2 linked regions of the Sus scrofa genome follow. The protein of the gene in region 2 interacts with the protein of the main gene of each other region in a biochemical or structural test. Links are inferred from orthologs where the notes say so. Each region holds a gene or a part of one and is shown on either strand. Other genes may lie near its edges.

Region 1 (3,653 bases), on a different chromosome or scaffold from region 2:
TTAAGTCTACCATAAAATACGACCAAGAGTTCCCGTTGTGGCGCAGCGGAAATGAATCCAACTAGGAACCATGAGGGTGCAGCTTTGATCCCTGGCCTCGCTCAGTGGGTTAAGGTTCTGACGTTGCTGTGAGCTGTGCTGTAGGTCGAAGACACGGCTGGGATCCTGCATTGCTGTGGCTGTGGTGCAGGCCAACAGCTACAGCTCAGATTCAGTCCCTAGTCTGGGAACCTTCATATGCTACAGGTGCGGCCCTAAAAACAAAGCAAAACAAAAAAATATGAGCCAAGTGTACAGAGCAACCTGTACCCGACGAGCAGACATCAGGGCTACACTCGTTGTCTAACAGAATCCAACCCCCTGGCATGAAGTAGAACATTGTGGCTATTTCAGCCTATCATCCGATGAGAAAGCGTGGTTTCAAGGTGGAATGAAGGCTGAGTTCCCATTGTGGCTCAGTGGTAACAAAGCCGACGAGCACCCATGAGGACGTGGGTTCGATCCCTGGCCTCGCTCAGTGGGTTAAGAATCCACCATTACTGTGAGCTGTGGTGTAGGTCGCAGATGTGGCTGGGATTCGGCGTTGCTGTGGCTGTGGCGTAGGCCGGCTGCTACAGCTCTGATTCAGCCCTTAGCCTGGGAACTTCCATGTGCTGCAGGCGTGGCCCTAAAAAGCAAAAAAAAAAAAAAAAAAAAGCTGGGGGGTGCTTATTATGTATTCTTTTTTTTAAATTTTGACTTTTTCCATTATAGCTGGTTTACAGTGGTGTTTTTTTTGTTTTTTTTTTTTTTCTCGGTCTTTTTGCCTTTTCTAGGGCCCCACTGAGGCACATGGAGGTTCCCAAGCTAGGGGTCAAATGGGAGCTAGAGCTGCCAGCCTACACCAGAGCCACAGCAACATGGGATCTGAGCTGCGTCTGTGACCTACACCACAGCTCACGGCAATGCCAGATCCCGGCAATGCCAGATCCTTAACCCACTGAGCAAGGCCAGGGATCAAACCTGCAACCTCATAGTTCCCGCTTGTACGCGTTAACCACTGAGCCACGACAGGAACTCCTACAGTGTTCTGTTTTATTATGTATTCTTGAATTTACGTCTCAGTTTCAGTACCCAGGGCTTGGCTTTTGTCTTGTGCCTACACTATTGCCTTTCTTGGCTTTCTAGAGCTGTGGCTTGCCCTGGGCCTGGGCAATGAACTCCTGCCCCTCAAGGCCAGCTCTCCCAGTGGCTAAGCTTGGCTATCGGCGAGGAAACTTCTCCAGGGTCTGGGTCTGCACCCCCTGCCTGATGCAAAGCCCATGAGTCCCTGGCTCCACCTCCAGTTACTCCTAACTCTGTCCTCTCCCTGGCCCCCATCTGTGTAGGCGCCAAGTCCTGGCTTAGCACCTAAACTTCCACCTCTTAATTCTACCTTCCAGAGAGTTCACTGTCAAAACATACGCATCTACCCTTTTTTGGCCAAAGTTTCTACTCTCCCTGTTCCTATCAAGAAGGTTCCTAGCCCAGAAATTTCAGTTGCCCAACTCTTATTAAAAATTCAGTCAGCGACCCCTAGCCTGGGAACCTCCATATGCCGCGGGAGTAGCCCAAGAAATAGCAAAAAGACCAAAAAAAAAAAAAAAAAAAAATTCAGTCAGGAGTTCCCATCGTGGCTGAGTGGTTAACGAATCCGACTAGGAACCATGAGGTTTCGGGTTAGATCCCTGGCCTTGCTCAGTGGGTTAAGGATCTGGTGTTGCTGTGAGCTGTGGTATAAGTTGCAGACTCTGCTTGGATCCCACATTGCTGTGGCTGTGGTGTAGACCAGCAGCTGCAGCTCTGATTCCACCCCTAGCCTGGGAACTTCCATATGCTGTGGGCATGGCCCTAAACAGCAAAAAAAAAAAAAAAAAGTTTCTTGATGTTTTAGTAGGGAACATGAGTGACAGAATTTGTATAAATTTAAATGTGATCTATTCTCTGCTGAGCGTTCTTTAGTTATTTTATCTAATCACCAAGCTGAAGAACTGGAGTTTATAATTCCTGCTTCCACCGGCCCCTCACGGGGGAGTCACTTTTCCGCAAGTGCACTTTGCCATGATCCTCAGCTTAAACGAAGAAGAGCCCATACAAAGCTAGGGGTCAAATCAGAGCTGTAGCCGCCAGCCTACACCACAGCCACAGCAACTTGGGATCCGAGCCGCCCCTGCGACCTACAGCACAGCTCACAGCAACGCTGAATCCTTAACCCACTGAGCAAGGGCAGGGATCGAACCCGTGACCTCATGGTTCCTAGTCGGATTCGTTAACCACTGCGCCACGACGGGAACTCCTATTTCTTAATTTAAATTTTATTTTGTACTGGGGTATAATTGATTAACAAGGTTGTGTTAGTTTCAGGTGTACAGCAAACTGATTCAGTTATGTGTACGCATATATCCATGTTTCTTCAGATTCTTTTCCCATATAGGTTCCTGAAACGAGTTCCCTGTGCCATACAGCAGGCCTCTCTTTCTAATCCTATGAATCAAAGTGAAGAAAGACATTACACGGAAGCTCTGCTTATCTAAACTTCTCTCCCCTGTTTCTCCGTCCCTTTGTGGGTAAGCCTAGCATCTTCCAGTCTCTCTGAATCCAGACTGTGACTGAATCCCAGTGGCCACCTCCATCAGTCTTCTGATTGCTCACTCTTGCCCCTCTTCTGGCTGAAAGCAATGGCCTCTGTACATTTCTGTACCAACACATAGAGAGTCATCTCAAGGGGAGTTGCCGATGTGGCTCAACAGTAACAAACCCGACTAGTATCAGCAAGGATGCAGGTTGATGCCTGGCCTCGCTCAGTTGCCTAAGAATCTGGCATTGCTGTGAGCTGTGGTGTAGGCCGCAGACACAACTCAGATCCTGCATTGCTATGGCTGTGGTGTAGGCTGGCAGCTACAGATGACCCCTAGCCTGGGAACCTCCATGTACAGAGGGTGTGGCCTTAAAAAAAGCAAAAAAGAAGTTCCCGTCATGGCACAGTAGAAACAAATCTGACTAGGAACCATGAGGTTGCAGGTTTGATCCCTGACTTCATTCAGTGGACTAAGGATCCGGTGTTGCCGTGAGCTGTGGTGTAGGTCAGCGGCTGTAGCTCCGATTCAACCCCTGGCCTGGGAACCTCCACACGCCGTGGATGTGGCCCTGAAAAGACAAAAGACCAAAAAAAAAAAAAAAAATTATAATTGTTATGATGCAATCGGAGTACGTACTTGCTGAAAAAGTGCGGACAGGGCTGTGGGTATAACGTAAAAACGTACAGCATCCTCTACCAGGTTCCGGCCCCACGGTAACCAGGCAGGCATCAGAGTTTCTTCGGAAGTTGGGTAGTTTACACAAGAGTGTCCACAAGGAGGCAGTGTACTCACCTTCTCCCCATATCGAACCCATGTGTTAGGTCCGCTCTTCCAGTACCAAACCCATTTCGTGGTGAAGACAGTACCGGGCGGCCTCGTGACAGATGAAGGCGTGGAGAGGCGTCGGATGGGATTATAATCACAAGTCATCTCCTGGAAATTGAGTTTATAATTTCCAATAGAAAGGCTGAGAAGGGAAAGCTCAGTGTTAACAACATGCTTCCCTGAAGCAAAACGCTTGTTTTCTATACTTTCCACACCGTGGTCGTCCCTGAT
Region 2 (3,653 bases):
CCCAGTGTCCTAGCTGGCTGTGACCTTTAACCCTCTCCTTTTCCAGCCCTACTGCTGGTCCGTACTGGTGGTGGAGCCAAAGCCGGCCCAGCTTGGCTCAGTCACTGGTGCGGGGTGGACTCGGGCCTCTGGGTCCCACATCGAGGCATCAAATCCCCAGTTTGTGAAGGGATCCTCAGAACTTCGAAAAATCCCCTTCCCTTGATTCGGGCATTGTCGCTGCTATCAACATCTTGGCGGCTTTCTTTTTGTCTATAGCCGTCTACCATCAGGGGACTGTTGTATACAGTTGATTAATGGTGGGCAAAATCTTTCAGAATAATAAGTTCAGGGTCTTGCTAACAGTGGGTCTTGGAGGTGAAACCGTTGGTAGCTCCCAGGTGTCCTGAGGTCTCTTCCAACTCCAAGACCAGTGAGACCAGATCTTCCTGGGCCTGACCTTTTTTTTTTAACGGCCACACCTGTGGTTTATGGAAGTTCCCAGGTATGGGTGGAAGCGGAGCTGCAGCTGCTGGCCTACGCCACAGCCATAGCCACACAGGATCCCAGCCATGTCTGCGACCTATACCACAGCTCATGGCAACACCGGATCCTTAACCCACTGAGCAAGGCCAGGGATCGAACCTGTGTCCTCTTGAATACCAGTGGGGTTCATTACCACGGCGCCACCATGGGAACTCCTGGGCCTGACCTTCTGCCTTTGGCCAATAGTTTATCTTGGCCACTGTTAGAGGCCAGGTCAAAGCACACTGTTACAGAGGTCACATCTGAAATGTCATCAGTGACTTGGGCTTTTGGGTTGAATTAGGTTGGCCTTGGTCTCTTCCAGCTGTTACATGTGACTGTCACTGGGTTGTTCAAGAGTCAAGGTCAGGTTCAGCCCTGCAGAGCTCTGGTGGAGTGGGAAAGGCCATGAAATGGAAGAGAGGGCCAGAGTATTGTTGAGCCAGCCTGTTAGGGAACATATATTTTTTTCCCTAGAAATTTCCCGTGTGCTTAGTTTGGACATGAGTCTGTAATTGTAACACCCATGAATCGCGATGTGACCTGGGGCAAGCCACTTAAATACTCTGTGCTTCAGTGATCATCTATAAAGGATGGATAACCCTTACCTCCTCGTGTTGTTTTTAGCTTTACATAGTTAATATGTGGAAAACCGAGAACAATGCCTGGCTTGGAGTAAGTACATGATAAACATTAGCTGCCATTATTGTGGTGGTGATTTTCCTACTCAGTTCTATGCCCCAACATTTTGCCTGAGAAGGGTGAAATTCAGATACTGATTATGGAAATTTATGGAAATACTAAGAGGCTTCAGATAGTATTAACTTCCATCTTGCATAATCTACCTTTGTATCTGAAGGTGGCTAGGGGCTTAGCAGCGATGCTGAATCCCCTTAATTCAGTTTCAGGGATTGAGCTGTTGGTGAGCCGGTCTTCTGCCGCTTCATCCTTATTCCTATGGTGTAGCCCTCCCTGCCTGTGGCCCTTACAAGTGAGCTTTGGACTCTGATTTGTGTCTCCCTGCCTCTCTGAGGCTGACATCGGAACGAGCAGGTGGTTCTGGGAGAACAACCCCCGAGGCCAGGCTTATCTCTGGGTTTCCTTCTCTTGGATTTTTTTTTTTTTGTCTTTTTAGGGCCGCACCCACGGCATATGGAGGTTCCCAGGCTAGGGGTCGAATCGGAGCTCTAGCCTCTGGCCTAGACCACAGCCATAGCAACGCACGATCCAAGCCACGTCTGCGACCTACACCATAGCTCACGGCAACACCAGATCCTTAACCCACTGAGTGAGGCCAGGTATTGAACCCGCAACCTCATGGTTCCTAGTCCGATGCGTTTTCACTGAGCCCCAGTGGGAACTCCTTCTTGGATCTTATCACATAATCCTTCCCTGCTTTGTTAGCTCCTCACTGGTTTTTAGTAGGACCCCCTCCCCCCATATTGTGTCTGCCTTTCTGGCTGTTTGCAGTGGGAGGGTTGGTTTGAACACCCTCCTCTGCCCCTCACTGAAGCAGCTGTCCCAGCTCATTCTGTCTCTGTGAGCTTGGGCACCTTGCTGTCTTCTTTCCTCAGTTTCATCATCTGCGGAGAAGCCCAGAATAACCCAAGCTGAGATTTACTAAGGACATTTGTCCTTGTAGATCTAGGTGCTGTGCTACGGCCTCAGATAATCCCCCTACTAGCCCTGCAGGGTGGAAACAGTTGCATCTGTTTCATGGCCAAGGACATAGGTGGGAGGCAGCTGGATAGCTGGGAGTCTAGACTGTCTGGCTCCAAATCCTATGCTTGTAACTTCTTTATTGTCCTGGCCCCCAGAAAGGATGAAGGGAGGGGGGTAAATATGAGAATGTTCCCCCCCTCCAAAAAAAAGCTACAACAGTCAAGACGTGGAAACATCTGTGGGGTAGACTCGGGGTGGTCCCTGGCGTCCAGTGCTGGTGGCGTCTGGGACGAGGTGTTTTCTCACCTGGTTTGTTTCCTCCATAGAACAAGCTGAGGCATAAACTGACTATCATGTACAGTCAGATCAACGGTGCATCGAGAGCGCTGGAGGACGTGAGAGCTAAACAGCAGGATGTGCGGGTGAGTGACGAGGCTTCCCACCAACAGCCTGGCTCTGCAGCCTCCCTCCTCCTCCAGGCAGGACAGGCTCAGCCCTGACTGCCCCATGGCTCATGTTGGGTTCACTCACAGTGTCAGACGTAAACATCAGCCTTTGAAAACATGCAAAAAGCTATGTGCTCAGAGAGATCCTTGACAGACCCAAAACCTTCCTACAGCCCAGCTTTGGGTGGAGGGAATCATTAAAAATTAGGGTTAGGCATTCCTCTTGTGGCTCCAAGGGTTAAGGACCCGATGTAGTCTCCATGAGGATGTGGGTTCCATCCCTGGCCTTGCTCAATAGGTTAAGCATCCCTCGTTGGCAGTGTAGGTCAAAAATGCGGCTTGGGGAGTTCCCGTAGTGGCTCAGTGGTTAATGAATCCAACCAGGAACCATGAGGTTGCGGGTTCGATCCCTGGCCTTGCTCAGTGGGTTAAGGATCCGGCGTTGCCGTGAGCTGTGGTGTAGGTCGCAGACTCGGCTCGGATCCTGCGTTGTTGTGGCTCTGGCGTAGGCTGGTGGCTACAGCTCCGATTCGACCCCTAGCCTGGGAACCTCCATGTGCCGTGGGAGCGGCCCAAGAAATGCCAAAAAGACAAAAAAAAAAAAGAAAAAGAAAAAGAAAAAAAGAAAATGCAGCTTGGATCTGGCATTGCTGTGGCTGTGGTGTAGGCTGGCAACTGCAGCTCTGTTTTGACTCCTGGCCTGGGAATTTCCACATGCTGTGGGTGTGGCTATAAAATTAAAAAAAGAAAAAAGAAAAAAAAGTAGAGTGAAAACAGTAATATAAAAAGTGGTAATGAGTTAAGTGGGAGAAAGACAGGAAGGAAAAGTTGCATCTGTTTATTTTTTAAAGTGTATTCATTTTCTAGGGCTACTGAAACAACTTAGCACAAACTTGGCTTATGACAACGGAAGTGTGGTCTCTCACAGTTTTGGAGGCCAGACCTCCTAAGTGTCAACAGGGTCATACTCCTTCCAAAAGTTCTGGGGAAGAGTCCTTCCTTGCCTCTTGCAGCTTCTGATGGTTTAGGCGTTCCTTAGCC

The links.
Region 1: of the proteins of TRIM25 (region 2) and ZC3HAV1, one has a biochemical effect on the other in vitro, tested with the Homo sapiens proteins (2 studies listed by BioGRID). The link is inferred for Sus scrofa from reciprocal best matches to the Homo sapiens genes TRIM25 and ZC3HAV1.

Annotation. Positions count from the first base shown.
Region 1 is NC_010460.4:10,567,739-10,571,391, reverse strand, and holds part of ZC3HAV1 (zinc finger CCCH-type antiviral protein 1), read right to left. Parts: intron 3,565-3,653; coding exon 3,390-3,564; intron 1-3,389.
Region 2 is NC_010454.4:33,205,915-33,209,567, reverse strand, and holds part of TRIM25 (E3 ubiquitin/ISG15 ligase TRIM25), read left to right. Parts: intron 1-2,492; coding exon 2,493-2,592; intron 2,593-3,653.